Linked DNA regions of Callithrix jacchus. The protein of the gene in region 2 binds, or shares a complex with, the protein of the main gene of each other region. Links are inferred from orthologs where the notes say so. Each region holds a gene or a part of one and is shown on either strand. Other genes may lie near its edges.

Region 1 (4,002 bases), on a different chromosome or scaffold from region 2:
GAAGGAAGTTCACTTAATGAACAATTGGGAGAAGTTTGAGGTGGCATTTCTTTTCTTTTCTTTTCTTTTTTTTTTTTTTTTTTGAGATGGAGTTTCGCTTTTGTTACCCAGGCTGGAGTGCAATGGCGCGATCTCGGCTCACTACAATCTCCGCCTCCTGGGTGGCAATTCTCCTGCCTCAGCCTTCCCAGTAGCTGGGACTACAGGCGTGTGCCACCACGCCCAGCTAATTTTTTTGTTTTTAGTAGAGACCGGGTTTCACTGTGTTGGCCAGGATGGTCTCGATCTCCTGACCTAGCGATCCGCCCGCCTCTGCCTCCCAAAGGGCTGGGATTCAGGCTTGAGCCACTGTGCCCGGCCTTGGGGTGGAATTTCTGAGCACTCCGCAGAAATCTGGCCCCAAAAGCAGAAGGCCAAGCCTCAAGTAGGGCGCCTCGCCCGCCGGTGCTGTGCTGGTGGTGTCAGGGTCCCTCGGCTTCTTCTCTAACCTCACCGCAGGGCTCACGGTGAGAACAAAGATGCAGCATTAAGAGAAAGAGATGGCTGCAGCTCCGCCCTCTTAAAGCCTATTCTGCGCGGGCAAGAGCTGGTAACCCGGACTCCAGCCCAGCCGCACACTTACCCGAAGACGTGCCACTGGGTCCTCCTCCGGTACCAGCTCACTCACACCTGGTCTCCGAAGCGGACTGTCGCAGCCGGAGAGCACAACTCCGCCCTCGAGGGGCAGCTTTGTCACCGATACAATATTTTAAATTACGCGCTGCGTTCGTTCGGCCAATCAGATAGCGAAGCCTGTAGCTACCAATCCGCGTAAGGAAAAGGGGCGGACCTAACTGGAATTCCAGTCGTTTGCTTCCGCTTGACCGCTCAAATCAAATGTAGATCCGGGTTACCAACTGTCGCGATTTCGGAGTTATTTGGCAGGGGCTTCTTCCAACTTAACACTTTTCCTTGAATCCTAGACATTTCTTATCCAAGCAGCATAAAGAAAATCTTGAGGTTTCGGCCTCCAACCCTTGTCCTTCCTTAGCAACACTTTTAACATAAGTGCACAAGATAACTGGTTTAGCGTGTTTGCTTTGTCTTGGGGCGGCGGCGGGGGAACGACATTTCCCAGGAGGCACCGCGAACCAACGCTAGTACTCTATTTCCCAGAATTCCCGGCTTTCGGAGCTACCAGACTGTCTCTCCTCGGGGTTGGAGATTTCGGGGCCAAGATGGCGACGGGAACGGGCAGTGAGTATCTGAGCAGGTTTTGCGTGAAAGGCCTTTGTGGATTCGAGGCTAGGCACCATATTTTTGTTACACCACTAAGGAGTAGGAGAAGTGGTTTGCTTGAGAGCCCAAGGTTTTCAGAGACCTGCGCTCCACAGTATCGTGAATACCAACGTGTGGGGCCCCAGAAATCTGGGGACTTGTTTCTCAGGGAGGGAGCGGAGGTTTGAGAGAAGCAGCTTACTGAATCCGAGTGTGTTAGGAGCTCTGCGGGGTAACCGTAAAAGCAATCTAGAAACTTGGGCGTGCAGACTGAAAGATGTTGTGAGCCAGTCGGGTCGGAGTAACCGGCGTCTCAAAGAGCCATTCATTTTCTGACCTCCGTTTGTGAGGCAGAAGTCGGGTCTTTTAACAATGAGCTTTTCCTGCTACTGAGAAAATTGCGTCTCGGGCATTTCAGACATTTTTCTTTTCGTGGACTGAAAGTCTCCTAGGCCTGACGTGGGGAGAAGAGGAGCTGAGAGAAGTAAACAAGTTTATGCTAAGAGGGAGGCGGGGTAGTAGGAGGTTCTGGCCGCTCGGCTTCCTGGGAAATAAAGCCCTCGCGGTTAAACTGGAGGAATAAAGTCCAGTATTCTTAAAACTGGGCTTTTAGGGAGAACTGCGTAATCTGACATTCCCTATTTTTTTAATAAAGCAGAGCTTCAAGCCATGGCGTTTTAAGAAATAAAATGTTATACTGTAATTCGCATGCAACGAATAGGTACCACCTTCACTGTTGGTATTTCACTTGGAGAGGTGAAAATCGAGATTTGGTGATAGCAGTTCACTTTGTCCTAACAAGTCGAAATGTTTTTTATTAGCCTTTTAGACCTCCTTTTAGGGATTTCGGAGCGTAGCACTGCAGTCTCAGCGGTTGTTTCCAAGGTTTTGTTTTTTTTTTTCTCTCTCTCTCCTCTCTCTCCCCTCTTTCTCTCTCTCTCTCTCTCTTTCTCTTTCTCCCAGAACACAAGCTGCTGAGTACTGGCCCCACAGAGCCGTGGTCCATCCGAGAGAAGCTGTGTTTAGCATCTTCTGTCATGAGAAGTGGAGATCAAAACTGGTAAGGTACCTAGGATGTCAGCTCTCCTGGGTCTTAGAAATTGTTGCATATGCTTTCATGTTGGTAGCTTTCTGTAGTTAATCATATTAAGCTGTAAGTAGACTTTCTTTTCTTTTTTGAGACTAAGTCTCTGTCGCCCAGGCTGGAGTCCAGTGGCATGATCTCGGCTCACTGCAACCTCTGCCTCCTAGGTTTGAGTGATTCTTGTGCTTCAGCCTTCCAAATAGCTGGGATTACAGCTATGCGCCACCAAAAGTAGCCTGGCTAATTTTTGTATTTTTGGTAGAGATTTTGTATTTTTAGTAGGGTTTTGTCCAGACTGGTCTTGAACTCCTGGCATCAATTAATCCACCAGTCCTGGCTTCCCAAAGTGTGAGGATTGCAAGTATGAGCCACCATATTCAGCCAATTCTCTGTCTCTATAGATTTGCCTATTCTGGGTATTTCGTACAAATAGAATCATATGTGCTCTTCTGGACTTTATCACTTAACATAACACTTTTGAGGTTCATTCTTATATAGCATGTTTCAACACTTAATTCCTTTTGTAGCTGAATAATAGTCTGTTATACGAATATACCAAATTTTGTTTGTTCATCACTTGATAGACACTTGGGTTGTTTCCACTTTTTGGCCGTTGTGAATAATGCTGCTATGAACATTCATGTATAAGGTTATGGACAATGTTTTTAATTCTCTGGAGTTTTTTGTTCAAGTAGTGAAATTGCTGGGTTACGTAGTAACTCTATTATGTTTGACTTTTTGTTGTTGTTGTTCAAGATTGTGTCACTGACGCCCAGGCTGAAGTGCATTGGTGTGATCTTGGGTCACTGCAGTCTCTGCCTCCTAGGCTCAAGCGATCCTCCAGCCGCAGCCTCCTGAGTAGCTGGGACTACAGGCACATACCACCATGCCTGGCTATTTAAATTTTTATGTTTTTGTAGAGACAAGGTCCTGCTATGTTGCCCAGGCTAGTCTCAAACTCCTGGCCTCAAGTGATCCTCCCAGCTCAGCCTCCTGAGTAGCTAGGACTACAGACCTGTGCCACCATGCTTGGCTAATTTTTTTTGTTTTTTGTCACTTTGTTGCCCAGGCTGGTCTCGAACTCCTGGCTCAAGGGATCTTCCTACCTTAGCCTTCCAAAGTGCTAGGATTACAACCGTGAGCCATCACTCTGAGCCTGGAACTATCATTTTACCTTGCCCTTTATCAGCCCCCACCCCCTTTCTTTTGCATCATCCATTATGAATTTAACTGTCTTGCCACATTTATAGACAATTCAGTACTTTGCTGATTGTTATGTTTTCTAGCATTTTTTTGTCTCTTTAATCTAATTTTTGAAGTAATACATGGCCACCATAAAAACAAAAACACTATATAGTAAGAGCAACAGCAACAGAGAAATGGGTTAAAAACTTGAGTTTATTTTTCTCACACATAAAGTAAGTCTAGGCAGTCCACAACTCTCATAGCAACTTTACAGGGACATTAAGAAGTCAGAAACTACTCTTTCTGTTCCACCTTCCTCAGCACAGTTTATCTTCTGATTATCTTATGGTTCATGGTGGTTCCTTGAGCTTCAGCTATCACATCCTTGTTCCATGCAACAAGAAGGAACAGGGTTGGTAAGAAAGGTCACATCCCTTTTAACAACTTTTTTTGTGATATAATTGATTTGCAGTAAA
Region 2 (4,240 bases):
CTGTGGTCCCAGCTACTTGGGAGGCTGAGGTAGGAGGATCAATTGAGCCTAGGAGGATGAAGCTGCCTTCTGAGCTTACTTTAAAGCGTTGTGCAGATATAATTATCTGTGACGAACAGGAAGAGCAACCAGTTACTATTAGCATAAGAGAGCTGGAAGACTAATTGGGGCTGCTGCACTCCAGTCTGGGTGACAGGGTGAGACTATATCATTAAATAACTAGTAAATACGTTTATAACATCAAATCTAAATTATAAAATTATGAATTTATACCATAAAGTTATACTATCAAATCTAAACCTAGACCACAGAACATCCCTTGAAGTGAGCTTGAGCTTCCCAAAACCACGATAGAAATGTCCAAGTGATTTCTACTTGCTCTACTACCAGTCTACGTGCCTTCAAACCCAACAGCGCCCACCTCAGTACACTGGTCCTTTTCCAGACGACAAAGCTGTCACAGTTCAGCATTTTTCCAGTGGTAGTTCTCTACTTCCCAAATAGATGGCTGCCACTTCTCCCACAAGCACCCAAAGGAGGCTCTGATAAGCAGCTGACATTAGCTAGGTCAGCATTCGTGTAATAAACATGGACTGGGTAATTCTCAGTGAGCTTTCCTCGGCCCCCGCCATCTAAAATTTAACAGGCCTCCTCTACACAAGCTCATCCTGCTTTCCCGAATGTCCTTTTTTCTCTTCAGCACTTGTCACCAACAAACCTGAAGTTTACTCATTTATTTCATCTATCTTGTCTCTGCCACTAGCATACAAGCTCCAAAAGGGCAGGGTTTTTGGCAGTTTCGTCCATTGCTGTGTCTCCTCCAGTGCCTCGAACAATGTCTGGGATTCTATCTCTCAAGAAAAGCCAGATATAGAACTAAAGGAATGGCAAAATGTGTGCAAAAAGTAAGATCAATCACGCAGCGTTTGCCATTGCCAGATTGGGTATCTGGCAACAAACAGGTTCACCAATATTTTGCTAAATGGACGAATACACGATCAGTCTCAAAAGACGGTGTGTCTCATTGTCACATGGGGAAGATAGTTAAAACCCAGATAGATGCCCAGGCCCGTGCCAACTAACTGATTCCATTAGCCAAATGGAATTTCTGAATCACAAGGAATTGAGGCAGGTGATCAAACGACCAGGCTCAGTTTGGGGAGAGACTAGAGGAGCGGAGCAGCAGCGAAAGATGCTCAAGACCACAGTTCGCAAAGCGGATACCCGAAGAGCGGCGCCTCCGGGGGCGGAGAAAGGCGCGGTCCCCGCCCTCCAGAGACTTTCAGTCCAGCGCTGGGAGGCGAGGGACCCGCAGCTGCGACCCTCGGCACCCGCGTTCTCGGGCTCCCTCCCACCTGAGCGCTCCCCGCCGGCGCAGGTCGCCCAGGCTCCGCCCCCCGGAGCTTCACCGCCCACCGCGCGCCCCGCCCCAGCGCGCCCAGACCGCGCGCCGCGGCCTCCCTCACCCGCCGGCCTCGCAGACGCCGCAGCAGCTCGTCCTCGTCGTCCTCGACTTCGCCGAAGACCAGCTCCTCCAGGCACCGCTCCACGGCCGGTTTGTCCTCCTCCAGCGTCAGACGGTTCCGCTGCCGAAGCCGTCTCTCCTCCTCGGCCGCCGCGACTGCGATTGCAGCGGCGGCCGCGCTCGGCCGAGCCGGCGGTTTCCGCTGGGATGAACGGGCAGCCTTTTGGGGCGGCCCGCCCGGTCCGGCTCTCGCTTTCCAATCTGGCCTCGTTCCGGGCTTCCGCTTCGGCTTTGCTCCTGTTCTCCGATCCAGTTTCATTCGTTTCCTCCGTTCCGGCGGCATCCTTGGGTTTGAGGAGAAACGCAGGCGCTCACGTGGAACCTCGCTGCGCATGCGCCCAGGCGACTCTCTGTCCGCCGCCGCCGGAGCCCCGGGGGCTGGAAGGAGCCTGCGCAGCCCCTTGCCACGTGACCAACACTCCCTCCCTCTACGTAACTCCCGCTCCCCTAGCCGGCCCCGCCCCGTGTGGGAGTTCCTCCGGGAGGTCCAATCTTCCGGGTGTAGAGGGAAGCGGCGTGACTGGAGTGGAAAATTTTTCCAACACAACTTCGCAGCTGCAACATATTGAAAGGAGCTCAAGAAAGCCCAATTATACACTGGGACGACTGAATGAAACTTCTACTTTTCCTCCTGACTTTAATCACTGGACTTGACACAAGCCTCGATAAGCTTTCCACCCTTCGTCTTGGTACGGTCCGTGGAGTACGGAGCCTGCCGAGGGTCCCACGCTGGAAGCGAGAGAGGAGGGTATGTAGGGAAGTGGGCCAATCGGGGCGCGGGTCACGGCGCAGGCGCGCTGGGGAGGGAGGGCTATGCTAATGTTGTTGATATCCTGGGGCCACCCGAGTTAAAGGGGGGAAATCCGGGGGCTGCCGCAGCCGCCACCGGTCTGGACCCAGCCGGGGGCCCCCTGTATCGCCGCAGTCCCGGGGAGAGGCACCTGCCCCCAGCCCTGGGAGGGGGCGCCGCGGGCTCGGGGAGCACGGACAACCCCTACCCATGAGGCCCTGATGGAAAACACAAAGGATCTGGTGAGAGCCGAGCGCGGCAGCCGCTTTGTGTGCCAGGTCGGGGGGACGCCTGCAGCTCCCCGACCCCAGGAACCCCGCAGCTCCCTGACCCCGCTCCCTGGCCTGCTTCTCCATCCCACGCCCCCTCAACCTCTGGAGTCCCCCTCCCCCTTCCAGCCGTTAAACGATTCAGGGGTTCCCCTCCCCCCACCCCCTCAGCCCCGGACTCGTTGGGGTTCTCTCCATTTCCTCCACCCTCTGGAAGAAAATTTTGAGAAGAAAGTTTTTCTCTGTGTCCCGCCCCCGTCCCCGTCCCCTGCTCTGGCTAGGGGAGAAAGGCTGGATCTGAGACTTTTCCTTTTTTAGCCACCCTGGGTGGGAGAGTGTAGTAGTCCTCACTTCTTTGGAAGGAGGGCGAGCATAGTTTTGGTGCTTTGCAGGGGAAGGTGTCTATCCGCCTTGGGGCCAGTGCCGCGAGGCAATTTGCACGTGGAGGTGGAAATATTGAAAGGGGGCGGGGTGGGCACGTGCGGGAGAGGTGGGAGTGGTGTTTGGGAATCAGCCTCCAAGGCTGCGTATTTAAAAGGGTTCCCAGTCAGTGGGCTTCTATGATTATTGCGTTCTCCTTTGTGAAATAAGAATCCTAACATTTCAGAGTCGGAAGAGACATTAGAGGTCATCCAAAGCAGCCGTTCCCTCTGCAGCCTCTCTGACAAGTGGTAGGTAGCCTGGCCCCTGCTTAAACCCCTAAAAGCACTGAGCGCTCACTACTGCCCGGGAAAGCCCATTTTTCAGTAGTTCTAATTGTTGTTTGCCTACCCTTGTTAGACCCTTCAGTCTCATTCATGTCCTGGTTAAGTTGCTCCTTTTTTTACTTCTCAAATTTTCTCTCACATCCTCCTCACCCACCCACTGCTCATTGGCCTATATTTTGTGTGCCAGGAAAGAACAGCAGGGAAGTGGAGGAAGAGGGGGGCTGAGAGATAGTGAGGGCCAGCCGAAAACTTTGCAGGGTCAGTGTCAAATGTGCTGGCTTACATGCCTAAAGATGATATTTTTCTACAGGAAGCTAGAGAATTAGAATATGGGAATTTCGTGTCTGTTTTCTCTCACTAGTGCATCTTTTTGAAGTTAGAAATTTCAACATTATCTCCGTAGTTCTTGTATCACAAAGCACATTTGCTTGTTTCCTAAATCACTTCTAAGGATGTCTAAAATTGCCTGTTAAGGATAGTACTGAAGCATCACCTGGTAGAGGGGATGATTAGAAGAACTACCGCCTCCACTCATTTGACCTGTGTTCCTTGGAAGCTGGTCTTTCCTCCAAGGGCCCCTCTTCCAAATGCTTTTACTCTTCGTTTTTTTTCAACTCTCTCTATTATGAGATTTGAAATTTATGGACCATTTTAATACTTGTTTAGAGTTTACAGTATTTCAATTCTCCTTTCCTTATACTCACATGCACCAGTATTTATCAGTGGGTGGTTGAGACAGTTCCGTTGAAACTATTGTCACTGGACGTTTTTCTAACATACTTCTTCATTTGATGAGCCATGCTGCCTCCAAAAGTAGTTGTGTTGGCTTAAGAATCTTGGATGTACTTGTTTCTCTCTAATATAGTCAAGTGGGGGTCAAGACATAATAGATACGGTGTAGAAATAATGCCTCTGATCTAAAAGCCAGCAAATAAATTACACCTTAAGC
Region 3 (4,291 bases), on a different chromosome or scaffold from region 2:
ATTGCATTTTAGGTTTTGGGGTACATGTGAAGAACATGCAAGATTGTTGCATAGGTACACACATGGCAGTGTGATTTGCTGCCTTCCTCCCCATCACCTATATCTGGTTTTCTTCCCATGCTATCTCTCCCCAACTCCCTAAATTATCCAAAGTGTTGCACATACTTTTTTGATGGAAGCCATTTGTTCTTCTCTCCACTCAGGTTTATTTTTCTTTGCATTCATAAAGAATTCACTGACTCTTTGTTCTAGTTGATCCATTGCATCTATGACATAATAAAAAAATCATATTTAGATGACCAAATTCATATATCAAATATACATGGTTTGATTTAGGGAGGAAAAAAAATCTAACAATACACCTTCTTTCACTCTGCCAGTAACTTAAACATGTTATTCTTTGATTATGTAAATATGTAATGCCTTAATTACCTTCCTTTAAAGAGTTACAATTTTCCTTATTGATGGATTATTTTTGTTTTTCTTATTTCACAACTTTTTCCAATAGCCTAAGTAGAGTCGACAAAGTAGACTGGATCTATCCTATAATTTTTGAGCAATACAGCATTGGGGTCAAAAGCTAAAGGTATTAAACAGCCAAATGCACCAAAACACAATTAAAACACCATTAGATAATCCTCACATTTCTTTTAACAAGGAAAAGTGATAAACAGATTTGGTATATAGCATTAAATATCTCATCATGTCATATGCCAACTGAAAGCAATAGGTACAATCATTTAAACATTATTTCTAGATAAGTTTTCCCCAAATTATGTGCCAAGACTAATCATCTCATTGGATGTCTGCTAAAAAAAAAAAAAAAGGGTGGAGGAGAAAGCATTCTGTTGTCACTTAAGTTGAGAAAAATAGTTTTATAATATACTTCTTTTGGAGATTTTTCAGTCCATACTAGCCCTTTAAAGACTCTATGAAGTCCTATGGTTAATTTTTTAGAGGCATCTTCCTTTGTTTAAATAAGCATGTCTGAATTTATTTAGCACATTGTTCTGTTAATCCATAATTCCTATATAACTTTAGAAAATTCTAGTTACTGTAAAGAAAAGCACTTTTAAAAAGCCTGTAATATGTATGACATAAGCCCAAATTACAAAATAATTTAAAATTTCAAACAATAAAATATAAAATAATTTAAATTTAAAATAAATTGTCCATTAATGCCTACTTTGTATCAGATGCTATAAATTCTAATCCAACTATAATATTTTAAATCCTTATTTGATTCTCTTTTTACAATGGAAGTCCCTCACAAGTGGTAATACGAAGTCAATGAGTAAATTAGTAAAGCCCTAAAACAAACTCAGATCTATCTGATAGCTCAATCCTGCAGAGAACACTACTTCAGCAAATCTTTAGCATTTCAACTACACTAAATTTAAAATGGATTTTGTGAGACAGCCGGAGAACCACACACACAATTCATACTTCATACCACAATCCACTGAACAGAAGGTGGCTTCCACGCTACCACTTTCTATTATGTGCCTCCTGAAACTTACAAGAAAAATGTACTCATAAACAAACAGTATATAAGTAGTGGTGTAGTCATACGCAGAGAAGTCAGGGGCAGTGAAAAGGACAGGTTCTTAGCTAAGGCAAGTGGTCCCTGAGCTAAGAACCTGTCCTTTTCACTGCCCCTGCTCTACGAAAGAGCAAGGTTAATTTGTGGAAAAAGTCACAGGACTGCCAAGCTATCACTGAAAGAAAAAGAAACGTTCATTAACTGCCACATTTTTTAGTACATTACGTAAGAAACTTTACAGTGAAATCTTATTTCTGTCACTCATTTTAACTAAGAAAATGATGATTCTGTTACAATTCAAAATGTATCTTATAATGTGTAACTAACTTTTCAAAATTTGACATTCGCCAGGGTCTCTAAAGAGCTATATATAACCTGCGCTTCTATGCTTTCTACTCTTGAAAAACTGTGAATAGAATTAACTTTATAAGTATAAATGCTGAAATCTTAATTCGATACAAAAGGATCAAGACAACATCTCAACATTTATGCCGACGTCCATTGAAACATAGGTAACTATCTCAATGACGGTAGAAAAATATTTTTTGCACAATCCCACATTCTAGAAAGGAATACACGGGTCCCAATGCCTCCTCCTCTTGCAAAAGCCAGAAAAAAAGTAGCACAGGAGGGAAGGAGAAGGCGAGATTCAGGACTGCTAGTTCTTTCTGACAACTCCTTATGCACTAGCGGAGTGAGCCAGAGGACAGTGAAAGAGCATTAGGTGTTAGCAATAATGACAAGCAAGTCTGGCACTGAACGCGCGCAGCGAAGAAGAGTAGTAGACGCGCCAGCTTACTCTGCACCTGCAGGTCCATCTCGCGCATCTCCGTGAAGCGGTCCCGCAGATCCATTGGAAGCTGTTCAATCACTGTCAAAAAGAGAGTCCGTCAGAGGGGTGGGGCAAACGGCGAAATACGCGCTTACGTCACTGCGCGTGTGCGTCGGGGGGGTCGAGGGGGCCGGCAGCCTACAACGAGGCTGCCAGTTACCGTGAGAAAGAAACATCCCCCGCCGCCCCCTCCCTCTCCGCCATCTCGCTGCCCGTCCACTCGCGCTCTCGCCCGCCCACAGGTCCCACCGGCGGCCCCCGCCAGCGCCGCGCACTCACTTTCCAGATAGTCTTCTAGGTACAACATCGCGGCCCTTAGAGCTGAGGGAACGAGGGGGTCCAGGGGTTTATTTGTGTCACTCGCTGTCGCCGGAGTTTTGTCCCTTCCAATATGGCGCCTCCGCTAGCAGCACCCGCTCGACTCCGGCAAAAAAAAAAAAAAAAAAAGAAAAAAACCACTTTGGCGCCTGACGGCGCTTGCCTCACTGCCGCCCGGAGCTGCTATTGGTTGGTTGAAGCAATGACGTAAGCCGGCCAGTGTTCGCCCGTGTTCCTTTGTGGGAAATGTAGTTTTCTTCCTCCTGAGCAAGGGTTGGCACGCTGGCGGCTTCCCTCATAGAAACTACGAACACCAGGCGCCATTGCGAACAGTGCGTAACAGAATCCGAAATGCGGTGCCTCTGTTTATTTGTTGATTTTTGCACAGAGAATGGCGGGAATTGTATGCGCCTGCATAATACAACTAGGAACAACTTTTCACCTGTTCTCTGCTGTGATTTCATGTCCCGGCATTTGTGAGTCATAAGTTTCAAGACGTGCCAGGGAAATAGCAAAGGTTCTAACGCTAGAAGAATCAGCAAAGTTCGGGGCATTTGGATTGCTTAAAATAGAACTCTCTGCTGGAATTTATCCTCATTATTCACTCCTGAAATATAAAAGAGACATCTGGTTGGCTTACATGTAATTTTAAAATAGTTTATAATGAGACTATGGAGTGAATATGCATTTCCCAGATTAAAAGACGCACAGATAGTGACAATAACCACTTATATATTCTAGTTTGCGGTCCATCTAGTTGTCATTCTAATGTAGTTGATCAGTATATACAATCTGATATCATCATCATCATCATCATAGTTAGCAATGGTGAATAACGGATGGAGCCTTGATTTCTAATAGGCTGAAATAGCAGTAATTTTATGTTTAGTAGATAGTCCATAGTAGAGGTTTGCTGTCTTGGGCGTTCTTTTCTACTTTTCGACCTCTCCCAGAAAATGTTTTCCTATGATGTATTTAGTACGTCCTTGCTTTTTTTTTTTTTTTTTTTAACTTATTAACTCTTGCACCTAATAAATATTAGGTATTGTTATTTTTCACTCTTAACTCTTCAGTTTTCTGGAGCAATTGTCATTAGTTCATAATTTATTGTTCATTTTCTGTTTTTCAGATTGCAGTTGAAGCTGTGTGTGTGTGTGTGTGTTTCTTGCTTTCCTTCTTCATCACAATACTCTTATACTAAAAGTTTTTACTGCTCTTAAGCAGGATATTTTCCTGTTACGAATGAAGAACAATGATGAATCTCAACGGAACCTTACTACAATCCTAATAAGAATTAGGATTTTTTAGGCCAGGTGTGGTGGCTCAAGCCTGTAATCCCAGCACTTTGGGAGGCCGAGGCGGGTGGATCACGAGGTCCAGAGATCGAGACCATCCTGGTCAACATGGTGAAACCCCGTCTCTACTAAAAATACAAAAAATTAGCTGGGCATGGTGGCGCATGTCTGTAATCCCAGCTACTCAGGAGCCTGAGGCAGGAGAATTGTCTGAACCCAGGAGGTGGAGGTTGCGGTGAGCTGAGATTGCGCCATTGCACTCCAGCCTGGGTAACAAGAGTGAAACTCGGTCTCAAAAAAAAA
Region 4 (3,500 bases), on a different chromosome or scaffold from region 2:
ATCTCGGCTCACCACAATCTCCACCTTCTGGGTTCAGGCAATTCTCCTGCCTCAGCCTCCTGAGTAGCTGGAATTACAGGCATGCGCCATTGTGCCCAGCTAATTTTTTGTATTTTTAGTAGAGAGGGGGTTTCACCATGTTGACCAGGATGGTCTCGATCTCTTGACCTCATGATCCACCCACCTTGGCCTCCCAAAGTGCTGGGATTACAGGCGTGAGCCACCGCGCCCGGCCTCACCCTGTGTTTTCAATTCTGCGTCGCTCCAGGCCTTTTCTTCCCAGGTGGCTCCTCTAACTGTATGTGTTTGCCACTAACTGGACAGGCACCTGTCCCTTAGTCTTCCTTATTCCTAAGATCCAATTTGCCACTGGTAACGAACACCTGCCTGTCCCCCTCATGACACCTACCCGACGAGAAAGAGCTATGCAGCTAACTCCATTCCTCGTGGGAACAGGGCTTGCAGCCTCCTCGGTAGGCCTTGGAACTGGCACGGCAGGGCTCACCTCCTCCGTCACAGCATTCCGCAGTCTGTCTGCTGATTTCTCTGCCCACATTACCAATTAGCTAATACGTTGTCTGCCCTTCAGGCTCAAATTGACTCTGGCTGCAGCTGATCTCCAAAACCATCGTGGCCTCGACTTACCGCAGAAAAAGGAGGACTCTATGTTTCTAAACGAAGAATGTTGTTTTTACTTAAAGCAATCTGGCCTAGTGTATGATCATATCAAAAAACTCAGAAGTTTGCTGACCAGGCAAACACCTCCGCCGAACCTGCCTGGCCATTCTCTAACTGGAGGTCCCGGCTCCCTCCGATCCCTACTTCTTTAACACCCATCTGTTCGGACCCTGTGTCTTCCGCTTACCCTCCCAATTCATCCGAAACCGCATCCAGGCGATCACAAATCGGCACCTGCTGCTCTGGACAACCCCACAATACCGCGCGGGGCCTCAAAGTTCCCCAGCAGCTGAAGCATGTGTGAGGCCAAACGTCGTGTCCAGACCTTTCCTATTTTCGTCCCTGTCCTGTTCCCACTTCTACTCTGTCTCCTCCACTAAAAAAAAAATTTTTAGGTGTCCGTGCGGTCCCATCACGCACAAAGTAGCCTTGAGACACTTAGCCCTCACCCCCCGAAACCTGTCATCACCCCCTCTTCTCTCTTTCTCTGTCTATATAAAAGGACAGGAACGTCAGGTCTCCATGTGCAAGCCTGGACCCAGAAAGTCTGAAGTCCTGCCTCGGCTGACTGTCGTCCCCCACCAGCCCCAATCACCCAGCGGAGCTTCCCCAGGACAAGCCTCTCACCCCACCCTGCCATCTTAACTACTCTTCTGCCTTACCACCTGCCATTGTAACTGAACTTATCGTAATGTATACGCCTTGCCCCTACCCCCCGCCACTTAACTGATCTTACTCTGCAACATCCCCACCCCCCGCAAAAAATTGCCCCAACCTATCAAATCAATTCCCACCCTTGTCCTTTCTCGGATTCGGCCTGCTTGCACCCAAGTGAGAAATAAGATGGCCTTGTCGCCCACACCCACACAAAGCCTGCTTGGAAGACTCCTTATTCAATGTGTTTAACACTCGGTACCATTGGACACAAATAACAGCTACAGGAAAGAAGCCCACACGTGAAAGACACATACTGTATGAGTCCATCTACACGAAGTAGCCACAACAGGCAAATCCATATACAGAGAAAGACCAGGGCTGCCTAGAACTGAAGACAGGAGGGTATGGGAGGATTAGAGGTGACAGGTAGGAGGTATGGGGTTTCTTTTTGGGGTGAAGGCAATGATCTAAAATTGTGACAATGGCTGCACAACTCTGTGAATATACTACAAAATGCTGAGCTGTACATTTTAAATGGGTGAATTATATAGTATGTGCATTGTATCTCAATAAAGCTATTAAGAAAAAAACAAGAGGCTGGGCATAGTGGCTCCTGCCTGTAATACCAGCACTTTGGGATGCTGAGGCGGGCAGATCACTTGAAGTCAGGGGTTCGAGACCAGCCTGGCCAACATAGTGAATCCCATCTCTACTAAAAATACAAAAAACACAAAAATTGGCCAGGCGCAGTGGCTCATGCCTGTAATCCCAGCACTCCGGGAGGTCAAGGCTGTGGGTAACCCTCTACATAGGCGCCGAGGGAGGGGAGCTAAGCAGAATCCTGGCACAATTAGTGCCTGAAGAATATCTCAGTCTACAGTGTTACTGCTCAGTTATTCCCTTTCGCACAATCCTTTATATATAATCATACATTAGTTCATAGAATGCGTGCCTAAAGAATATCTTACCACTCAGTTATTTCCCTATATGTATATGATTATACCTTAGTTCATAGAGGAATGCCTAGAGTGGACACAGTACAGAGCATTAATTAAGGAATAAGCAGCTTATAATCAGAGGAATGTCTGGAGCAGACACAGTTCAGAGCATGATTTAAGGGACAAACAGTTATGCCAGGACAAGAATCCATGGCCCAGGCAGCAGCGTTCAGTATCGTAAAGATACCTGCTGTATGGCAGGCTTGGGGCGAGAGCCACTCCTCCTGATAAAGGAGTTGTAGGACCTTGCTCCAGTTCTTGTGGAAGGCTGCCCTCAGACGGGCAATCCACCTTGGTGACTGTGAACTTATCAGCTCTTGCTATGGTGCTGGCTCAAAAGCATCCTCCTATAGAACTCACTGGAAGCTGCCAGCAGGTGGCGGTAGACCCTGACAGCTTTGTCACTGCTGTGTTACTTAAAGCATCCTCATACAGACACTCTCATAGATAAGAGATATTGCACACTGCACCCTCTTCGCTGCGCACGGCCCACCTCCATGACTCGGTGACCTAACGGGGGTGGACCCCTTACTGCACAAGGCCTGCCTCCTTGCCTCAATGACCTAATAGGGGTGGACCCCTTGTTTATTGCTCACGACCCTATCACTATCCTTAAAGATGACTTCACTCACTACCCTGCCCCCTAACCTATACTCAATAAATACAGACGCTTCTGGACATTCAGGCCTCACCTGTCTCTGCTTACAGGTGGTGTGCCACCACTCCCAGCCCAGCTGTGCTTTCTTTGCACTTCCGTGTCCTGTCTCTTTCTTGGATCCTGTGCCTCAGCACAGCATTAAGGGACACCTCACGACCCTGTGGGGCCCTTAGCCCTACAAAGGCAAGCAAATCACGAGGTCAGCAGTTCAATACCAGCCTGGCCAATATGGTGAAACCCCATCTATACTAAAAACACAAAAAAATTACCTGGGTATGGTGGCAGGCACCTGTAATCCCAGCTACTTGGGAGGCTGAGGCAGGAGAATTGCTTAAACCTGGGAGGCTGAGGTTGTAGTGAGCTGAGATCACACCACTACACTTCAGCCTGGGCAAGAGCAAGACTCTGTCTCACAAAACATAAATAAATAAAAATAAAAAATAAATCAGCTGGGAGTGGTGGCACACACCTGTAATCCCAGCTACTGGGAGGCTGAGGCAGGAGGATCA
Region 5 (4,073 bases), on a different chromosome or scaffold from region 2:
CTAGAAGGTCAAACAAAAGGACAGGAAAGGACATAAAATAAAAAGATATGAGATATGGCTTTCTTCTTCATCAGCCAATGCAATTTCATCACACACAAAGGACACCAAAGCTGATAAATAATGTACAAGTGTTTCTTTTTCCTTTCTTGTGGCTACATTTTCAAATTTAATTTATTGTACATTTATATAATTTCTGACAAATTTAAAAAAAACTTTTCCTTAAAGATAATTTCAAATGGATAAAAGAAATAGTATTATAAACCTACATGAATCCATCATCCAGCTTTCAACAATTACCAACTGAAGGCCATCTTGTTTCATCTATAACCCCACCCACTGCTCCCCCGCACCCCCGACTTTTTCAAGCTCACCGGAATATCTGGCTTTTGTATTTTATTCCAGAAAAATTTAAACGTATACCAAGGAAAGCAGATAAATATAAGGAACTCACTGCGTATCAATCAGCTTAAATTATTATTAATTTAGGGCTAATTTTTTTTCATCTATACCCCTCCCCATTTCCCCCCACCGCTGAGATTATTTTGAAGCAAAACCTAGTCATTAATGTATTTAGAAGTCAACCTCAGACATTACATTATTTAATCCGTAAATATTTTTGCATATGTCTCTACAAAAAAAGGACAATTTGAAAACATAACCACAATACTACTGTGACGCCTAAAAAAACTGACATCAATTCCTTAAAAAACATCAAATATCGAATCCGTGTTCCAATTTTCCCGATGCGTCTTAAACGTATTTTTACAGTTGGTATGTTCGATTCAGGATCCAAACAAGGCCTACTCATCGCATGTGGTTCATCTCCAGCTCGCTCTCGTTCTCCATCTCTTTCTTTCTCGCACCCCCCACACCTTTTATTTAACTTTTCAATATGGAAAAATTACAATCTATGCTATTTTCAGGCAATTCTCAAATAGCAAATTATTTCATTGTTAAAAATCGATATATCTCTTTTATCTTTTATTCTACGAAAGAAGTTGATGGTAGAAAGGGCACTACAATTAGCGAATCTGCATAATTTATAATTTTTCTCATTCTATTACGCAGATTATTTATCTCCATAACAATACATAATATCTTCAGGAGCCAGGCTTCATATTACATGCTCTATACGCACTATTATACAGTAAACGTCGCTGAGGTAGATACTATTATTATCACCATTTTACAAACATGGAAACCGAGACACAGAAAGAACAGGAGCCTTGCCCAAGCTGGGCGTTGGCAAGCAGGAATTTGAATCCAGCTCTGACCGATTGTGAAGCCACTAGCTAATCCCGTCTCTACCCGACGAAAAGAGGAAATCATCGACCCTTTCTCCCCACCCCCACCCCGAAACCTGAAACGAGAATCCAGATCTTCCCAGCAGCCGACGTGTGATCACTGCCGTTCCTCCAACCGCCATAGTAAAGCCAGGTTTCTCTGGCAACTGATATCCATAGGCAGACACGTCACCCTGGAGGAGGGCGTATGCTCTTCAGCCAATCACAATCGTCTTGTCTAAGTTTTAGAATGTTCCATAACCAAATGATTGGATAACCACCCCCACGTCAGCAATGACACTTAGCCGCAGTAAAGGCGGGTGCTAGCAACCTGCTTCTTCACTGTTAAGGCCTACAGCAAACCAATCACCTTCCTCCGTTAGTGCGAGTTCCGGCCAATGACGTTCGCCCTCTTAGGTTTTTAGCCCGCCCTCCAAAAGCGTGACAGCCGTTGGGTCATAAGTCTATAGGGCAGAATGTTCACGTGGCCTATTTCACGACCCAGAGTTCCTCTGACCAGAAGGTTTTTTTTTTTTAATTTTTCTTTTCTTTTTTTTTTCTGCAGGGAGGCATTATGGGTTTGTGTTTCCCCCCTCCTTCACTGGGAGAGGAAGTGTCTACGTGGCCTGCGGAAATAGGATAGGCGGAAATGAGCTAAGGTTCCCGCGAGTGGGGAAGCGAGAGGTCATATCTGGGGCCACGCCCCCAGACCTGTGGCGCAACTCTCCGAACATGAAAAAAAAAGACGCAATGGGGGTTCTGCTGTGTTTGCGAGTGAGGGTCCCGAGTGCCGCGGGCGCAAGGCATTAAGGCCAGTGTGTCAGTGCGCGGGAAGGCTCGCGTGGGGCCCTGGGGTTGCTCTGGGAGCGCGCACCGGCCCTCGTGGCGCGGGAGGTAATGTGTGTGCGCAGGCGTGCGCCCCGGGCGTCGGGCTGGTGAGAGCCACAGCGCGCACCGGCACTCGGGCGCGCGGGCGCGCGTGTCTGCTGGTGTTGGGGGGCGGTGAGGGGAGGGGTTAGCTACGGCGCGCAGGTTGTTATCTATTTCTGTATTGTTTGAAAATGTTCTAATGAAAAGGAAAATAATTAAGGCAAGGCGACAATAACAGAGATAAAAGGGGCTTTGTCAGAAATATTTTGGCTTTCTCTACTGATTTAATTAAAGACTTAAAAAAATACACTCCCTACGTTTTCCTTTCTGCCAGAATCCCACTGTAAACCACAGCCCTCCAGTGGTTTAAGAGCCAAACCCTTCCATCGCCACATTAGCAACTGCAAAGAGAGGCTTCTTTCAAGTTCTCTAGTATCCTCCTTCCTCCCCTCCTCCAAACCTCCCCCCCTCCCTCCAAGGCTGCATGCAGTTTTCTTGGCACAAATACAATTTTCCTATGGGAATGTCTATACGACAGCATTCCCCTTCATTAGGGACTCCGAATTTTTGTGGGGATTGAGGCGCTCTTACCTTTGCGTCCTGATTTCCAAGCACGCACACTGCCCTTCTTCAGGCAAATGCGCACTGTTAATTTTCCAGAAAGTTCTGTGGGTTAGGGTTATACCTCTCGAGTCTCCCACTAGATGCCGCCAAATCCCAGCAAAGGATTGGCTGTTTGGTCCCTGGGATTATGGGGTTTTGTTCTCCCCACTCCCCTTCTGATTTGCTGAACACTACAATCTATGAGGATCATGGCTGTCGTTCATTCCTAGGGAAAAATAAAATCAACTTCTGTAAATAACACAAGTAGGCAGGGGACTATGATCCAAGGTCCAAATAATTTTGCTTCTTTCTTTCCTTTTCTCCTTGGAAAAAAAAAAAGGTCCCTCTCCAGCACTCTCTTCTTTTGTCCTTGCCTTGTTTAATCAGAGTTAATGAATGACCCAAGCACTGATGTTGAATATGCTAACCCTTTTTCCTCACCTTTTCAAATGCTCACAATTCACCCAAACTGAAAATACAGATAGCTGTTCAGTCAGTAAAGATAGGTAAGAACTCATCAGTAAAACTTGGACCCTGGTATTGAAAACTGATTTTCCTTTTCTCTTGAAATTTGTATCAGATATGTGTGTTTACACCCTATTTTCTGTAGTGTTTTTGGTAAACTTTATTGTGTCTTTGGAGTAAGAGACCTAATTGTAGACCACATTCCATCACCTCAGTACGCTGGGCAAATGATTTATGTTTTGTGACCCTCAGTTTTTTGTATGCTTTCTGTATTTTAGATGCTATGTTATATCCTTCACGTCGATTTTTAAAAAATTCATCACCAAGTCCTTATTAGATGAGCACTACTAGATCAAAGTCAAATAACAAAAATCATATCCCTTTCAGTTATCTATCATATATACTTGTATACACACACAGGGAGGATTTTTTTAGAGCAGTGGTTCCCAAGGTATGTTTTCTGGATGTACCAGAAACATCAGTATAACCTGAAAAGTTGTCAGAAATTCACATTATCAGGTCCGACCCCAAACATAATGAATCAGAAGTTCTCAGGGTGGGGTTTGATAATCTGTGTTATTAACAAACTATCCCAGTGATTCCAGCACACACTGAAGTTTGAGAACCACTGCTTTGGAGAGTAGAAATGCAATGCATATTTTTGTACACACCACTAGAGGGTGCTACAGAATGTAAAGCAAAATAATAAATGATATACAATATATGTTTTCAGACACCCTCCATATTATCAGTCGTATTTTACAGATTAAAAACTAATGTATAGAGATGTCAAATTATTTTCTTAGTGCACACAACAAGTATGGGAACCAGGATTTGAACTTTACCTGCCTC
Region 6 (4,167 bases), on a different chromosome or scaffold from region 2:
GAACATAGGCAAGGGCCACTGCTACACCTGGCTAACTGAACATTTGTCTTGCTCTGTGGCTGAGGCTTGTCTGTAATTCCTGGGGTCAAGCAATCCTCCCGCCTCTGCCCCAAAGTGTTGGGATCACAGGCGTGAGCCACTGCACCAGACCTGAAGTCTTCATTTTGTTCACTGATGTATTCCAGGCTCTAGAATAGTGTCTGACACATGTTTTGGGTCCCTAAATATTTTTTGAATGTATGATGAGTATCACACATACTATCTTTATAATTATAAACCTAATATACAAAACAACGGCCGGGGCCGGGGCCCTAGAACTTTGGGAGGCTGAGGTGGGTAGCCTGCTTGAGCTCAGAAGTTTGAGACCAGCCTGGGCAGCATCTTTTTCTTTTTTTTGAGAAAGGGTCTCACTCTGTCACCCAGACTGGAGTGCAATGGCAGGATCTTGGCTCACTGCAACCTCTGCCTCCTGGGTTCAAGACATTCTCTTGCCTCAGCCTCCTGAGTAGCTGGGATAACTGGAGGACACCACCATATCCAGCTAACTTTTACATTTTTAGTAGAGATGGGGTTTTACCATGTTGGCCAGGCTGGTCTTGAACTCCTGACCTCAAGTAATCCCAGAATTTTGGGAGGCTAAGGCGGGCAGATCACGAGGTCAAAGGATTGAGAGCATCTTGGCCAACATGGAGAAACCCCGTCTCTACTAAAAATACAAAAATTAGTTGGGCATGGTGGTCCGCGCCTTTTGTCCCAACTACAGGGGAGGCTGAGGCAGGAAAATCGCTTGAACCCAGGGGGCAGAGGTTGCAGTGAGCCGACATCGCGCCACTGCTGCAGAGCGAGACTCCGTCTCAAAAAAAAAAAAAGCGTAGTATACAAAATAAAGCTAGGAATATTCCCTGAATCCTCCTGCCTATGGAATGAAGTCCACAGACTTGGAAGAGCGTTGAAGCCCCTCTAAAGCCACTCCCTTCCTCCAGCCTCTCGGCCCGTAGCTCAGCACTAGCAGTTCACTCCCGGCGATACCTCCCGCCGCCACGAGGAGACGCCCCAGCACCGCCCTCTGTCAAAGCCCAAACAATATTGCCACGTGACCCGCTCCGCATCCACGTGACCAGCGTCGCACGCGGTGGGCGTCAGGTGACGGGCTCAGTAGTTCTCCAATCGCTGTGCACGTTGTGGGGTTTCCACTTAGGGCTCGGTCTGAGGCTTGTAACACCACATTCTCCCCCAAGCCACAGGGGCAGTCTTGCCGCTGGCAGCTGGGTGGCGGTGTCTCTCAAAGGTCCTCTATAGGGGCTTCGTGAGGCCCAAGCCTACAGCACTCAGTTCCGGAAGTGACGTCTCCCAGAGGGGCCGGAAGTGGCAGTGGAGGGAGGGAAGATGGCGGAGGTGGTGAGTCCGGTGCCTGGGGCGGGGCGGAGGGAGCCAGGGGAGGTGGGTAGAGCCCGAGGCCCCCCAGTAGCCGACCCTGGCGCCGCGCTGTCTCCCCAGGGGGAGATAATCGAGGGCTGCCGCCTACCCGTGCTGCGGCGGAACCAGGACAACGAAGATGAGTGGCGTGAGTGACGTCGGGGGGCGGGGCTAAGGAACCTGAGGGCGAGGGGCGGGAGGGAGTCCACTGAACCCCCGGGATGGGGAGGGGCCTCTGGAATTATGGGGCGGGCGGGGCTCAGACACTCCGATGAAGGGGCGTGGCTCTTAGCTGCTATGAGAGGTACAGGGCGGGGTCTGGAAAGGGGTGGCACTTGTGACTGAAGGAGGCTTGGATGAGACCTTCCAAGTGCTGCAGCTTAGGGATCCGGCCTGGGGGTGGAGTTCAGGTCGTGGAAGGGTGGAGTCTCATGGCCTGGCCCGTCTAAGGTCCCTGCCTATGCTGTTCCCATAGCACTGGCCGAGATCCTGAGTGTGAAGGACATCAGTGGCCGGAAGCTTTTCTACGTCCATTACATTGATTGTGAGTTCTGGGCCTAAGGTGGGGCAGCAGGGTAGGGGGTTGGGGGGCAGTCTTTGGCATTCCTTCCTGAGCCATCCCCACTGCTACAGTCAACAAACGTCTGGATGAATGGGTGACGCACGAGCGGCTGGACCTAAAGAAGATCCAGTTCCCCAAGAAAGAGGCCAAGACCCCCACCAAGAACGGACTTCCTGGGTCCCGTCCCGGCTCTCCAGAGAGAGAGGTGGTGAGTAGGTCCCCCACTTCACCTCATCTCTCCTGCCTCCTATTTCTCTTATCTGTTGGCATTTAGGGGCTCCTGGATGGGCAGGAGGCGGCATCCTCTTACCCTGACTTCAGCTTGCAAAAGATGGGGGCCAAATTGCACATGTAGCTCCCAGAGTCCAGTAGTTAGTCCTGTGTCCTTCAGAAGGCAGAGGGTGGGGTTTGATAATTTTAAGCTGAGGGGCCCCTCTTCCCCTTCCCCATCCCACTGCCATCCCCGCCCCAGAGGAAGACCCTGGACCTATCTCTACAGCCGGCCTCGGCCCAGGCCAGCGGGAAGACCTTGCCAATCCCGGTCCAGATCACACTCCGCTTCAACCTGCCCAAGGAGCGGGAGGCCATTCCCGGTGGCGAGCCTGACCAGCCGCTCTCCTCCAGCTCCTGCCTGCAGCCCAACCACCGCTCAACGGTACCCTCAGCAATTCCAGGGACCTTGCTTTCTTCTCAGGTCCCACCTTCTCTACCCTCTGACCCACCTTTGTTGGTTTCTCTCTGCAGAAACGGAAGGTGGAGGTGGTTTCACCAGCAACTCCAGTGCCCAGTGAGACAGCCCCAGCTTCGGTTTTTCCCCAGGTGAGTTCCCCAAACCATTTCTTGTTCCTTTCCTCTCTTCTGCCCTCTGGTGGCCCTTTTCAAGCTCATCTCACAGTCATCCCTTCTTTTCCTGGTATCTCATCTGCAGAATGGAGCAGCACGTAGGGCAGTGGCAGCCCAGCCAGGACGGAAGCGAAAATCAAATTGTCTGGGCACTGATGAGGTGGGTCTGGGGAGCAGCAGAAGGGAGCTGCGTGAAAAGGAAGGGATGCAGGCAGGGTGGAGAGTTATTTAGTGATGAGTATAAAAATGAAGGGGTGGTGGACCTGGGCAGGGCTAGTGTTGGTAGGATTAGGAGCCAGGCAGAACATGGTTCAAATGAATCATTGGGGCTGGGCACCATGGTGCACACCTGTAATCCCAGCACTTTGGGAGGCCAAGGTGGGTGGATCACCTGAGGTCAGGAGTTTGAGACCAGCCTGGCCAACATGGCAAAACCTCATCTCTACTAAAAATAAAAAAATTGGTTGGGCACAGTGGCTGACACCTGTAATCCCAGCTCTTTGAGAGGCCAAGGTGGGTGGGTCATGAGGTCAAGAGATTGAGACCACCCTGTCCAACATGGTAGTGAAACATGGTGAAACCCCATCTCTACTAAAAGTAAAAAATCAGCTGGGCCTGGTGGCGCACGCCTGTAATCCCAGCTACTTGGGAGGCCGAGGCAGGAGAAACGTTTGAACCCCGGAGGTGGAGGTTGCAGTGAGCTGAGATTACACCACTGGTACTCCAGCCTGGGAAAAAAGTGAGCCTTTGTCTCAAAAAAAAAAAAAAATTAGCCAGACATAGTGGCAGGCACCCGTAATCCCAGCTACTCCGGAGGCTGAGGCCAGAGAATCTCTTGAAGCCCGGAGGTGAAGGTTGCAGCAAGCCAAGATTGCACCACTGCACCTCATCCTGGGCGACAGAGTGAGACTCCATCTCCAAAATGATCATTGGGTGATGTTTTCCACATCATCAGTCCCTTAGGGTTTCAGGTTTTACGTCTGGAAATTGGGGGTCATGGTACCTTCCCTATAGGGTTGCTGTTAGGCTTGAAGGAAACCTGTTGAGGGGGTGTGAGCTGTGGTGTCCTGCTGAGCTGTCTCGTCTAACCTGGTGTCTTCTACTCGCCCTGGGCAGGACTCCCAGGACAGCTCAGATGGAATACCATCGGCACCACGCATGACTGGCAGCCTGGTGTCTGACCGGAGCCACGACGACATCGTCACCCGGATGAAGAACATTGAGTGTATCGAGCTGGGCCGGCACCGCCTCAAGCCGTGGTACTTCTCCCCGTACCCACAGGAGCTCACTACATTGCCTGTCCTCTACCTGTGCGAGTTCTGCCTCAAGTACGGCCGTAGCCTCAA
Region 7 (3,500 bases), on a different chromosome or scaffold from region 2:
GATAAAGAGTGGTTTTTTTCTACCTACTAGTGTTCAAAAAATACTTCAGGTTGATGGACAGATTGCCTGAGGAGTACTGATGATGTGTTTGGAAACTTGTTTTATTTCCTCCAGGGGAGCCAGGAAGTGGGACAGAAAGTGACACTTCTCCAGACTTCCACAATCAGGAAAACGAACCTAGCCAGGAGGACCCTGAGGATCTGGATGGATCTGTGCAGGGAGTGAAACCTCAGAAGCCTGCTTCCTCTACTTCCTCAGGGAGTCACCACAGCAGCCATAAAAAGCGAAAGAATAAAAACCGGCACAGGTCAGTGGCAGGGATCCCACCCCCTGCAGCTTCCATGACCATTACTGTGAAGGGAATTGCCTAGAATAACAACGCTTTAGGATTGTTGCAGAGCCTTTCTGTTACTGATGGCAAGAAAGTCCTTTGGTCCAAGTGAATAGTCTAATTTGCTCAGAGAGAGGAATTGGTGGACATTAGAATAACCCTCAAGGAAGACTCCAGGATATCCTCACTGTTTCTAGTGCAGAATAGTTTTATTCCATAAAACCTTGTTTCATATGGTGAACATGGGATACTTTTAGAAGAGAAAAAGGAGAAATAGAAATGGGATCCGTGTAATAGTATTTGAAAAATGCCACTAGTACATAATGGGAAGCTGTAAAGTGGGATGAAGTCTTCTGCTGTTAATCCTGATTTTTGCCTACTTTTATTTTGTTGTGGATGGAGAGAATTGATTTCAACTGCCTTTTTTTCTCTTTAAATACAAGTTTTTTTATTGCTTGTGATTTTTCTGTTTCTGTATTTCTCAGCAACATGCTGACTTCAGATAATGGAAGAACAGTATAAAGCCTGTAAAATATGAGAGTGTCTTCGTAGGTAACATGTAACATCGGTGCACCGTGTTTTTTTTTTGCAGTACACATAATGTGATAGGAATGATGCCAATGGACAGAGAGGCCAGGTGTCACCCAGAGGGGGTTTCAGCATTCACTGTGCCTGGGGTTTGTATGATAATATGGGGGCTTGTTAACTCAGATAATTGGAAATTATGCAGCTTGACCCAAAGAGGATAATGTACAGTTTCTAAACTAAGGAATTTTGCTGGCCTCAAACCTGGGATACATGGAGACCCTATACATACCTGTTTTCATGCTTCCTAGAAGTTTTGAAGCAAGGGCAAGATTCCTCATTCTAGAAACTGTATTCTTTCCTCCTCTCCTGGAAGACTGCATGCAGAGCAGGTAAAAGGGGGCATGCAAGGAATGGGTGGCATTCCTGTCCTCCAGTGTGCTTCTGGATTTGCTTTACAAATCTGTAGCATATTCCTTCATGCACCCAATGCATTAAACTTGGCAGTACCTGGGGATAACGTAGAATTAACTCTGCCTGAACCTCCTTGGTTGGCATCAGCTGGATCTTCAATTCTTTTTTTTTTTCTTTTTTTATGCTCCTTTCTTTAAAGATCAAATTTTTCAGGATCTTCAATTCTTTTAAGAGTTTTTCTTGTTGATGGTAATAGTGTTTTTTAGACTGCAGAAATAGTATTCCTTCAAATAGTGAGTAAGGACTGCTGCTTAACATTTTTCTGCAAACCAGAAGTCTCCATCCTGATCACATAACTATACTAAAAAATAGCAAAAATTGCATATTCCTCTTTATATATTTTTGAAAGGCTGTAGGTTATTTGACCAACTGTAGTAAGACTGGTGCTAGCTTATCACGAATAGAAAAGAAACATACTCTTAAAATTTTATTTAATTGTCAAGATAATTAAATGTCATACTCTGCATTGTTCTGTTAAATTTATTCCAGTGTCAGTCAGTCAGTTGTTTGTTTGTTTGTTTATTTATTTATTTATTTCGAGACAAAGTCTCTTTCTGTCACCCAGGCCGGAGTGTGGTGGCACGATCTCAGCCCCCTGCAACCTCTGCCTCCTGGATTCAGATGATTCTTCTGCCTCAGCCTCCCGAGTAGCTGGGATTACAGGGATGCACCACTGTGCCTGGCTAAGTTTTGTGTTTTTAGTAGAGACAGGTTTCATGAACTCCTGATCTCAGGTGATCTGCCTGCCTCGGCCTCCCAAAGTGCTGGAATTATAGGTGTGAACCAGTGTACCTGGCCTAGTGTCATTTTAAAGTAATGATTATTTTCTTATTTCATAGTGTCTAGAGGAGGGAGGAAACTCTTTCAGAATTTCTGGGGCTTTTTCCATTATTGATTAATAGACTCTCTAGATAGCTGTTTATTTCAGGTCATTTTCATTAATGACATCATTACCTGTTGACTGATAAAAAGGAGTTAAAGAAGTGCTAAACTTCACTTTCTTCTTGCAAGTTTCTAGCATACTTAGTAGGAACAATACTACTTCCTATCCTTTCCTTGCAGTAGGAGCTATCTCCTTCCAGAAGAATAGTGGTGTTGTAAAGATCTTTGATATTAGTTACTGCTTCACAAATAGTGTTTTCTGTTTGGAAAGCAGAATCTTGCTTTTTATTGCTGTCCTTTTGTCTTCCCTCTGATTTAATATCTGGCTGATCTCCCTTGGCCTTAGGCACTCATCTGCCCCAAGAAAGGAGAGTGAAGCTGATTTTCTTCCTTTCTAGGGAAGCCAGATTCAGTGTGCCTGAATGGTACATGAGTGGCCATTTAAGGTTCTTAGACTCATGCCATCTTTAGTCAGGAACTGTGTCTGGTCCAAGCCCCTTACTATTGACCAGACCTCAGTGGGTCTGGCAGATTGGGGTAGGGGCAGAAAATGGTGTCTATGTACATTGCTAAGTTTGTACCCAGTACAGTACGTGTTTCTCTTCCAGTGTGCCATACCGCATATATGCACTTGAGCAAAAGGAAATAACTTTTGAATTTGCCCTCTTCAGGAATATGAATTTTTTTTTTTTTTGGGAACAAGATCTTGCTTTATTGCCCAGGCTGGAGTGCAGTGGTGAGATCATTAGGCTTACTGCAGCTTCAACCTCCCGGGCTCAAACAATTCTCCCACCTCAACCTCCCAAGTAGCTAGGAATATGAGCATGTGCCTGGCTAGTTTTTGTATTGTTTTTGAAGAGACAAGGTTTCACCATGTTACACAGGCCGGTCTTGAACTCCTGGGCTTGAGTGATCTTCCTGCCTTGGCCTCCCAAAGTGCTGGGATTACAGGCATGAACCACCACACCCCACTAGAATATAAAAATTTATCAAATAATTTTTAGCATCCATAAATGATGATATTGTTCTGAATTCTTATATTTTACGTGATACCTGAACAATAAGTCATTCCTGGTATCTTTACAGAAAAAGTTGAAATAATAGCATATAGTGGCCAGGTTTCTGTGGCTCATACCTGTAATTTCAGCACTTTGGGAGGCTGAGGTGGAAAGATCACCTCAGCCTAGGAGTTTGAAACCAACCTGGGCAACATGGTGAGACCCCCCCACTCTCTACAAAAAATACAGAAATTAGCTGGGCATGGTGATGTGCCTGTGGTCCCAGCTAC

The links.
Region 1: MBTD1 (region 2) and BRD8 share a complex: the UniProt entries of both Homo sapiens proteins name them as parts of the nuA4 histone acetyltransferase complex. The link is inferred for Callithrix jacchus from reciprocal best matches to the Homo sapiens genes MBTD1 and BRD8.
Region 3: MBTD1 (region 2) and ING3 share a complex: the UniProt entries of both Homo sapiens proteins name them as parts of the nuA4 histone acetyltransferase complex. The link is inferred for Callithrix jacchus from reciprocal best matches to the Homo sapiens genes MBTD1 and ING3.
Region 4: MBTD1 (region 2) and RUVBL2 share a complex: the UniProt entries of both Homo sapiens proteins name them as parts of the nuA4 histone acetyltransferase complex. The link is inferred for Callithrix jacchus from reciprocal best matches to the Homo sapiens genes MBTD1 and RUVBL2.
Region 5: MBTD1 (region 2) and MORF4L2 share a complex: the UniProt entries of both Homo sapiens proteins name them as parts of the nuA4 histone acetyltransferase complex. The link is inferred for Callithrix jacchus from reciprocal best matches to the Homo sapiens genes MBTD1 and MORF4L2.
Region 6: MBTD1 (region 2) and KAT5 share a complex: the UniProt entries of both Homo sapiens proteins name them as parts of the nuA4 histone acetyltransferase complex. The link is inferred for Callithrix jacchus from reciprocal best matches to the Homo sapiens genes MBTD1 and KAT5.
Region 7: MBTD1 (region 2) and MEAF6 share a complex: the UniProt entries of both Homo sapiens proteins name them as parts of the nuA4 histone acetyltransferase complex. The link is inferred for Callithrix jacchus from reciprocal best matches to the Homo sapiens genes MBTD1 and MEAF6.

What each region holds. Positions count from the first base shown.
Region 1 is NC_133503.1:36,584,037-36,588,038, reverse strand, and holds the start of BRD8 (bromodomain-containing protein 8), read left to right. Parts: upstream 1-1,202; 5' UTR 1,203-1,217; coding exon 1,218-1,236; intron 1,237-2,220; coding exon 2,221-2,317; intron 2,318-4,002. UniProt on the Homo sapiens protein: May act as a coactivator during transcriptional activation by hormone-activated nuclear receptors (NR). Isoform 2 stimulates transcriptional activation by AR/DHTR, ESR1/NR3A1, RXRA/NR2B1 and THRB/ERBA2.
Region 2 is NC_133506.1:115,118,095-115,122,334, forward strand, and holds the start of MBTD1 (MBT domain-containing protein 1), read left to right. Parts: upstream 1-1,440; 5' UTR 1,441-1,466; coding exon of another isoform or gene 1,467-1,808; 5' UTR 1,809-2,135; coding exon 2,136-2,273; intron 2,274-2,319; exon of another isoform or gene 2,320-2,536; coding exon of another isoform or gene 2,537-2,557; intron 2,558-2,789; exon of another isoform or gene 2,790-3,031; intron 3,032-3,191; exon of another isoform or gene 3,192-3,255; intron 3,256-4,240. Other genes in the region: UTP18 (U3 small nucleolar RNA-associated protein 18 homolog), read right to left, coding at 1,467-1,808. UniProt on the Homo sapiens protein: Chromatin reader component of the NuA4 histone acetyltransferase complex, a multiprotein complex involved in transcriptional activation of select genes principally by acetylation of nucleosomal histones H4 and H2A.
Region 3 is NC_133512.1:126,163,523-126,167,813, forward strand, and holds the start of ING3 (inhibitor of growth protein 3), read right to left. Parts: upstream 2,801-4,291; 5' UTR 2,683-2,800; coding exon 2,655-2,682; intron 2,415-2,654; coding exon 2,343-2,414; intron 267-2,342; coding exon 166-266; intron 1-165. UniProt on the Homo sapiens protein: Component of the NuA4 histone acetyltransferase (HAT) complex which is involved in transcriptional activation of select genes principally by acetylation of nucleosomal histones H4 and H2A.
Region 4 is NC_133523.1:42,837,434-42,840,933, reverse strand, and holds part of RUVBL2 (ruvB-like 2), read right to left. Parts: intron 672-3,500; 5' UTR 557-671; coding exon 410-556; intron 1-409. UniProt on the Homo sapiens protein: Possesses single-stranded DNA-stimulated ATPase and ATP-dependent DNA helicase (5' to 3') activity; hexamerization is thought to be critical for ATP hydrolysis and adjacent subunits in the ring-like structure contribute to the ATPase activity.
Region 5 is NC_133524.1:99,740,774-99,744,846, forward strand, and holds the start of MORF4L2 (mortality factor 4-like protein 2), read right to left. Parts: upstream 2,801-4,073; 5' UTR 2,745-2,800; intron 1,430-2,744; exon of another isoform or gene 1,361-1,429; intron 1-1,360. UniProt on the Homo sapiens protein: Component of the NuA4 histone acetyltransferase complex which is involved in transcriptional activation of select genes principally by acetylation of nucleosomal histone H4 and H2A.
Region 6 is NC_133511.1:122,803,526-122,807,692, forward strand, and holds the start of KAT5 (histone acetyltransferase KAT5), read left to right. Parts: upstream 1-1,367; 5' UTR 1,368-1,386; coding exon 1,387-1,564; intron 1,565-1,891; coding exon 1,892-1,960; intron 1,961-2,049; coding exon 2,050-2,186; intron 2,187-2,450; coding exon 2,451-2,633; intron 2,634-2,722; coding exon 2,723-2,797; intron 2,798-2,906; coding exon 2,907-2,981; intron 2,982-3,937; coding exon 3,938-4,167. UniProt on the Homo sapiens protein: Catalytic subunit of the NuA4 histone acetyltransferase complex, a multiprotein complex involved in transcriptional activation of select genes principally by acetylation of nucleosomal histones H2A and H4.
Region 7 is NC_133508.1:74,052,070-74,055,569, reverse strand, and holds part of MEAF6 (chromatin modification-related protein MEAF6), read left to right. Parts: intron 1-114; coding exon 115-307; intron 308-3,500.